2 linked regions of the Arabidopsis thaliana genome follow. The protein of the gene in region 1 interacts with the protein of each later gene in a pairwise test. Each region holds a gene or a part of one and is shown on either strand. Other genes may lie near its edges. The genes, in order: GMD1 and RPT2.

Evidence for each region.
Region 2: the proteins of GMD1 (region 1) and RPT2 interact in a two-hybrid assay, tested with the Arabidopsis thaliana proteins (one large-scale study listed by BioGRID).

The regions. Positions count from the first base shown.
Region 1 is NC_003076.8:26,474,143-26,478,072, reverse strand, and holds GMD1 (GDP-D-mannose 4,6-dehydratase 1), read right to left. Parts: upstream 1,908-3,930; 5' UTR 1,640-1,907; coding exon 554-1,639; coding exon of another isoform or gene 442-553; 3' UTR 319-441; downstream 1-318. Other genes in the region: AT5G66290 (uncharacterized protein), read left to right, coding at 1-108, 442-777; AT5G66270 (Zinc finger C-x8-C-x5-C-x3-H type family protein), read left to right, coding at 2,507-2,566, 3,109-3,243, 3,333-3,457, 3,537-3,930. UniProt on the Arabidopsis thaliana protein: Catalyzes the conversion of GDP-D-mannose to GDP-4-dehydro-6-deoxy-D-mannose.
Region 2 is NC_003071.7:13,003,759-13,007,688, forward strand, and holds the start of RPT2 (Phototropic-responsive NPH3 family protein), read right to left. Parts: upstream 1,989-3,930; 5' UTR 1,816-1,988; coding exon 1,745-1,815; exon of another isoform or gene 1,662-1,744; coding exon 1,592-1,661; exon of another isoform or gene 1,399-1,591; coding exon 1,021-1,398; intron 425-1,020; coding exon 1-424. UniProt on the Arabidopsis thaliana protein: May act as a substrate-specific adapter of an E3 ubiquitin-protein ligase complex (CUL3-RBX1-BTB) which mediates the ubiquitination and subsequent proteasomal degradation of target proteins.

The sequences.
Region 1 (3,930 bases):
ACAGAGGTGATCAGCAACTGCGATACATTATGTAAGAGAATTAATTCTGAGGGACCTGAATCTCTGAGGTCCACAGTGGCGCCTTTTTCTCTTGCATCTCCCGATTCGGTCAGTATAAATACTACTACAACTCTGTCTTCTAAACCCGAGGCATAAGAGTAAATACTCTTAATGGTAGTTAGATTGGTGAATCGAATACGTGTAGTTCTACAGCATACTTTCTGATCTCCTCTGATTTTGCATAGATGCATGATGATGCTATTGATTGATCTTTTTGTTACAAATCATTGTTTTCTTTTGTCATTTCATCTTTAGGCTTTTCGATTTGTACAATCGCTTGTGACCAGTAAGAAACCATTGTTCTGATAAGGGGAAAATTCATATGTAATAAATATGCTTTGTTTGCCTTTTGATACAAAATCCACAATGGACGATTGGCAGTGTATGGAGTTGAACAACTTGAAACAACGAAAGAGAACAACAACAAATGAAACAAAATTACATTTCAATGAAAAAGCAGATAATGATTACTCTTCTTTGCCACCTCCCCATATCAAGGTTGCTGCTGAGCGTCCATGTAACCAGCGTCGGCGAGCACTTTCTCCCTCTTGGCCAGCTCAAGGTCTTCGTCCACCATCATCTTCACCAGCTTCTCGAACCCTACTTTTGGCTTCCACCCCAACATTTCCTTTGCCTTGCTTGCGTCTCCTTTCAGATTGTCGACCTCCGTGGGCCGGAAGTACCTTTTGTCGATCTCGACATGGTCTTTCCAGTTGAGCCCCACGTACCCGAAAGACACGTCCAGAAACTCCTTGACGGTGTGTGATTCCTCAGTTGCAACCACATAGTCATCTGGTTTCTCCTGCTGCAGCATCAGCCACATTGCTTCCACGTAGTCTCCTGCGAAACCCCAGTCTCTTGAAGCCTGTATATTTCCCAGGAAGAGCTTGGTCTGCAATCCGACCTTGATCCTTCCCAAGGCCCGAGTGATTTTCCGAGTCACGAAGTTCTCGCCTCTGCGAGGTGACTCGTGGTTGAAGAGGATTCCGTTGCAGGCGTACAGACCGTAGGCCTCTCGGTAATTGACTGTGTACCAATGAGCAGCGCATTTGGACGCAGCGTAGGGAGATCTCGGATGGAAGGGCGTGGTCTCTGACTGCGGAGGAGGAGTTGACCCGAACATCTCCGAAGAGCCAGCCTGGTAGTACTTGATGGCGCGGCCATTGTCAATGTTGTGAGATCTGACAGCCTCCAGGAGACGAAGAGCTCCAGTAGCGACAACGTCAGCAGTGTAATCAGGGATCTCGAAGGAGACGGCAACGTGGGACTGAGCAGCAAGGTTGTAGACCTCGTCAGGCTTGATGACGTCGAGCCAACGGCGGAGGGAGGAGGCATCAGAGAGATCACCGTAGTGGAGCTTCATGAGAGCTTTGTTGACGTTGTGGGGATCAACGTAGATATGGTTGAGTCGCTGAGTGTTAAAATTGGAGGATCGTCGGATGAGGCCGTGAACTTCGTAGCCTTTCTCGAGCAGGAACTCGGTCAGGTAAGATCCATCTTGGCCAGTGATTCCGGTGACCAGTGCAATCTTCCTCGGCTTCACAATGTCGGAATCGCCATTGAGAGATCTGGAGGCCATTGATGGGTGGGTGCAGAGTCAGATCGGATCAGAAGAAATGATTGGGCACGTCGCGCTTTCTGTTTTTGATTTTAGCGTCAACTGATTCGATGACTTATATATAATAAAGCCCAAGGACGAAGAAGACAGAGAGAGAGGGTTACTTCTGTAAACTTTAAAGGTGAATCTGTATGGCTACGTAAAGTTGTACTTGTATGGCAAATCGCCGGCAAGCGTTGACCGATTACGAATATTTTACTATCTATTGGGCCAAGATGGGCTTTAAATTACTGCTAATTTTATTGGGCTTATATATATATATAGCTCTACGGGTTGCGTTCAGACTAAACATCATTGTGGACTTTAGTAATTTGCCTTAAGTTAACCCATTTAGTTATATTATACTCGGCCTTATAATAACCATTGATTTTTTTTTTTCCCCACACGATCTCAACTTGCATGTCCTATTTATTAGATTCAAAATTCAAAAATGAAAGCGTAAAAATAAAAAACACGTAACGTTAAAAGGAGTAATTGTGAATATTAAAAGAATATGAGTGGTGGAAATTAAATCGGTGAAAGTAATAAAAAAAACGATTAGGAATGGGAGCCAATCAGCGCCTCTCTATTTGATAGTATTTATTTTTCTCCACTGGGAAAGTCAAAAAGTCATAAAAAGTGTGGTTAGGGTTTTCTCTCTCTCTGTTCTATCTCTCCCACAGAACACAAAACGTATCGCCGACGCCTCTCTTCTTATTCATATCTGTCTTTCTCATTGTCGAGTTTGGTCTAACATCTGATTTCTCGTTTCGTATAGAATCTGAGAAAGTGGTTAGTGAATAGACTTTAGAAAGAGTTTGCGATTGAATTTTTGTAAGAGAAATAGTAATGATGAAGAAAACGAAGAAAGGGAGAGTATCGTGGGCATCAGATAGTATGCTTTGTCAGGTATAGCCAACCCGTCGTCTTCTTCGTCGACCCAATCTTGTTCCTTATTCTTCTCTTACCTGCAAATTTGTAATTGTTCGGTTCGGACTTACCAGTTATCAAAGTTGGAATCGGACAGTTAACAAACGAATTGATTTTGATTGATTGCTTTTGATTAATTATTCTTAATTTTAAATTTACACAAAGATAAAACCTTTTCCATAAGTCACCGTCAAAGCAACAAACTTTAATAAGATGACGTTTTTTTTTTTTTTTTTTCTGGTAATGGCGAATCTAATTAATTAATTTTGTGTGCCTGAATGTTGATGACTTGATGTTATGAAATCTTCTTTACATAGTAGGGACATAAACAGCAAGAAATCCCAAAAAAAAAGAAGAACAATGTACCAATGTGGTCACTAATTTTAGAAAGATTGTGTTCCTCCTGAAATAGTGAAACATGTAGGACTCCCCTTATATATATAACTCATGTAAAAAAAAGGACTTTGTGGCTGCTGAGTACACACGCATTTGGTTACTAACTAAGTAAAGGATTTGGACAGGTAAAGTTGTTTCTTAGTGATGATTGTCCCGTTAAAGTTGCATCGAATCTTCCACCTGGTTTTGAAGCTACTGATTATGCAACGAAGCGAATCATCTCACACATTCCTCGGATCAAATGGAAACGCCCACCATTGGTATAATTCTTTTCTTGAATTGCAAACAATGTGACCCTTCTTGTTTTTATATAACTCTCACTGTCTTTCTTTATTCGCCGCCAAAATAGTTTGTCCTCGATGATGCTTTGCTTGTTGGGAGTGGTGGAAAAAGCATCGAGACTCGTTCTGAGAATCTTAGGATTTCTAAAGTCTTGGAAGCTTTCTATCCACATCGCTCTGTGATCCCTTCTCGGTAATTTTATCATTTGAGGATTTGCTTTTGTGCCATGTCATGTTTTTCCACTTATCAAATTCTCTCTGTTTTCTTCTAGTCCTTCGCTCACACTAGCTGTTGAAGAAGAACACTATGACGACGGCAAAACTCCTAATATCCCTCTCACTCACGTTGAAGATGAACGTGACGCTGCTGCTGAATCTTCCCACAGTTTCGAAGCTCCTGCAGCTGTTTCTGGACTTGGACCAGAGTTAAGTCTTCTTGCTTCTGCAGCTTTGTCTGCCTTAACTAAGGAACAGGGCTCTCAGGTCGATCCTGATTTACTTGTCAAGTTACTCAGTGACCCCAAAATCGTTGAGAACTTGATCAATGGCATGAAAGGTAAACCACTTGAAACTGCAAATAACAGTCTAAACACTGACATCACCGAACCTAGACTTGCTCCTCAACATGTCACCTCCACAACCATGGACAGAAACCCACCTCCCATG
Region 2 (3,930 bases), on another chromosome or scaffold:
CGACGGAGACGTGTTCTAGAACGACTGAGATTCGCTTCTCGAGCTCGTTCTTGCAGGTCAAGGAAGTGTCTAAGAAGACCGCGCAACGGAGGAGAGAACAGAGGAAATTGACTGGGAACAGCCCTTTGTCTGAAGGTAAAAGAGAGACGATAGATTGAACAAGATCTCTCTGTTGGGATCTTTCGTCGGATTCGTTATCTCCGGGATCGGAATATTTGACTCCTCTGCCTGAATGGTCTCTGACGAGATCTCTTAAGGATTTCTCTGTGTAGGTGATGATTGCAGAGGCTAAGGAAGAAGGTTTGACACCTCTCTGCTTCATTGAAGATACGACATCGGAGAAGAAGTCGACGTCTAAGATACAGAGTTCCTCTGTCCACCAATTTGGTGGTGTTCGACATGGAAACATTGCCTCGTTGCAAGCCTTTCAAATATCAAAAGAAATAGATATAAAAAACGTATCAGATACTGTAACCAAGCATTACAAAAATTCATGGATGTTAAAATATTAAACTCGTAATTCATTTTGCATTACATAGATATTATACTTGAGTCTCACGGAACTGGAATAGGGTAGAAGTATGATTTGCTCAATTTAAGATTCGGAAACCAAACCGAATTAAATATGAAATATTCCTATCGAATCTAAATCGCAATCATAGTCTGACAACAGTAATCATAGATCTAAACTTTAATATTAAAATAGATTTTTGTTTTTAATAATAAACACTAGAACAAAAGAAGTGAAGAACAATGGTCTCAAACTGATTTTTCTTAGGAAAATTGATAGATGAAATTTTAAAATCAATTTCAAACTATTACTGTATTTGAAACCTATGGAATAACTAAACCAGATATTCTTGCCATTTATTGAAAAACATACCTAAAACTGTACTAACTTACTAGATTGGGTTATTGCAGTTACTACTACATAGGTAGAAAAGAAAAACATAAACACTAGCCAAAATGGAGATCCAACACTTACAAAGAAGTGAGAATGAGTTCTGAGTAAAATAATACCTTAGCACCGACGACGTCGACACAACGGCGGACAATACCAAGATCACGAGAAATAGGAAGGAGAATCTCGCAAGACTTGAGGACAACGATAGCTCCAGAGAGGCTAGAGAGAGCTACTTGAGAAAGGAAGTCTTGTGTCCGACCAGCAAGGTTGTTGTCGCAGTACTTATCGGTCATCTGAAGAAACTCGGCTGCGCAATGAAGAGCCGCCACGTTCTGAACGGTGATCTCGAAGTTAACACCGTAACAGAACTTGGCAGCTTTCTCAAATATCTCAGGACCTCCGGGTATATCCGAGAGATTGATTCTTGTCACGTCGCTATCTTTGGATTCCATTATTAGCTTCCTTATGTAGTTACTCTTAGCCACTAACATGAACTATATATATACAATCATGAAAAATTATAGTTAAAATTTTGTGTAATTAAAAACATGTAAGCTAATGGTTTGTACTAATCTCGCCATCCTATTATTACTCTATTCAAGCCTAGTTCATGAGTATATGAAAAATAAATAATCCTTTTTTGTATTGAAAAATGTTGTGAACCAAGAATTAAGAGTTGTTGCTTACCTTATGAAGAGAGAAATTGGCTTCTCCGACTTCAACAACAACATCGGTCGGAATATCTTGAGAAAAAACCCTACAAAGTTACATATATACATGTTAAAATTTCTGATGATTCGCGCCGGGAGACTCTATTGGTGAAACTAGACTGATTCGTACCATTGACCGGTTCTTGCAAGACTTGAAGACATAGAGTTCATGTTGATGGGGTTTTTTCCTTCTGTTGCCATTTTTTTTGGTTCTCTATTGAAGGAGATGGAAGCATAATTGGAGAGTGTCTATATATTGAAATTTCTTTAGCATGGGTCCCCCCAATCCACCCAATTGCTAATGTAATAATATTTGTGATTGGCTTCTTCTATCTTATTTTTCTAAGTTTTTATTTGTCGTTTTCTGATGTGTTTATTATCTCTTTTAGTTAACTCACTCTAATCCTTGTGTTTGTCTTCGTCGTTTACTTTCCTTTTCACCATTTCCTTTTAACTTTTCCCTATTTGGATATGTACTTGTATCGACGGCTATTTTATGTAATTTAGACCTTCCACATATATACCGATATATGTTTCACCAACTTTTTGATAATAGACTAACAGAGATCTCGATCTTGGTGATTTGTAGATAACATTAATAAACATATCTCTGTAAGTAACATGCTTTACTACGCTTTTATTTAGTAAATGTATTTATTTATCATTAAAATTAAAATTAAAAGAAAAGTGAACGTTTACTAATTGATATTTGGCTAACTACATTCAAATTATCAACTATTATTTTAGTAAATGTTACAGTGATATTCAAGGTTAAAAGACTACAAAAAACATGCAGGATAACAATGATTATAGTAATATGACGAACATGAAAATCTTTCTTATCATAAAGCTGCTATGTGTAAGCAATCTCATCGTACAAGGACATAGAAGCCGGGACAAAGTGTGAGTGTGTGACAGACCAGAAGTACAGAACGGATCTAAATTCTTGATTTCATAACATGCATATGGTGATGATTAGAAAATTTTATAAAGTATAATGATTAGTGAGAACCAATCATCATTCATATATTTGGTTGTTGGCAACAATTTGTAGAGTGGCTCATTCAAAAAGAAAAAAACAATCTTACTTTTTGGTTTGGTTAATGAGAATATGATAGCAAAATTAAAGTTTCACATGCTAAAAGCCTAAAAATTCTGAATTAAAGGAAGACAATGCTATGAATATAGAAAAAAAAGCAACGCATGTGAATAATTGACAGATAAGAAACGAAATTAAAAGTGGATGTACGATTAGAGAGAAGTAGGACCATGGAAGTTAGGGAAGTAGGAACATGTCATAGATAAGGCCCACCCCAAATATGTGGTCGTGCTTCATCTTAGAACCTCGTGGTGTTTGGCTTAGCTACGTCGTCAAATCATCCATCAGAATCCAGTTTCAGTTTTGTCTTCCAATCATGTTTATACACGTGTTCCTATCGTCTTTAAAGATATCTCACGTCTCTTACATTGCCTAGTTGCCCTAATAATTTTCTGCCGGTGCGACTAGTTTTATAAGACTATTTGTAGTTTGAATGTGAAGATTCACAAAATGGGTCTTCATAAAAAGTTAAAAACCCTTACCAGTTTTCGTGATTTTTCTATTTTGATGTAAGTTTCTGTGAATCGATGTGATAATATGTCATGTGAGTCTTTTTTCTCCGGCTGACATAGTAACATGTGATTTGATAAGAAAATTATTTTAGTATCGTGATAAATTTTGTGAGGTGTTTAACTTTTTGTTTAAATCTTAATGCAAAAACTTCCAAACCCTAGATTTCTTTTTTGTAATTGGTTTTGCATCAAAACACAATATCCGAATGTAAAATATTGAATTAGCTAAACAGTAGATGTCCACTAGATCATGAGTAGGCGATATACATATAAATTTCATTAATTCAGAGAGAATAATAATTAAATTTTGTAAAAAGGTGCTAAGGCAAGGTCTTAATACAAGTCTAAATTATTCAGATGAAAAATTCATGTTAGGAAATAGGTTGGACCATAAGAGGATGGTGCTATCAATCTATTAACAAAAGTACAAATACCCTGAGCTGTATTGCCGTCTAGTTTCAATCAACAATTTCGATCATAATGGTTAATTACATCCAGAGGATTGACATATAGGATTGTGGTTTATTTTGGTTTGATTCGGTAAGTAGAACCAAAATGCTATTTTCTGATTAAGGATATGCAATTTCTACACACCTGAATTCAAAAAAGGCATTGGAGCTAATTCTAGTCAGATCATATCCATGATATACATTTAGTAAAATGCAAAAAAAACTCAAAATTTTTTACCTAATATATATAAGTAAT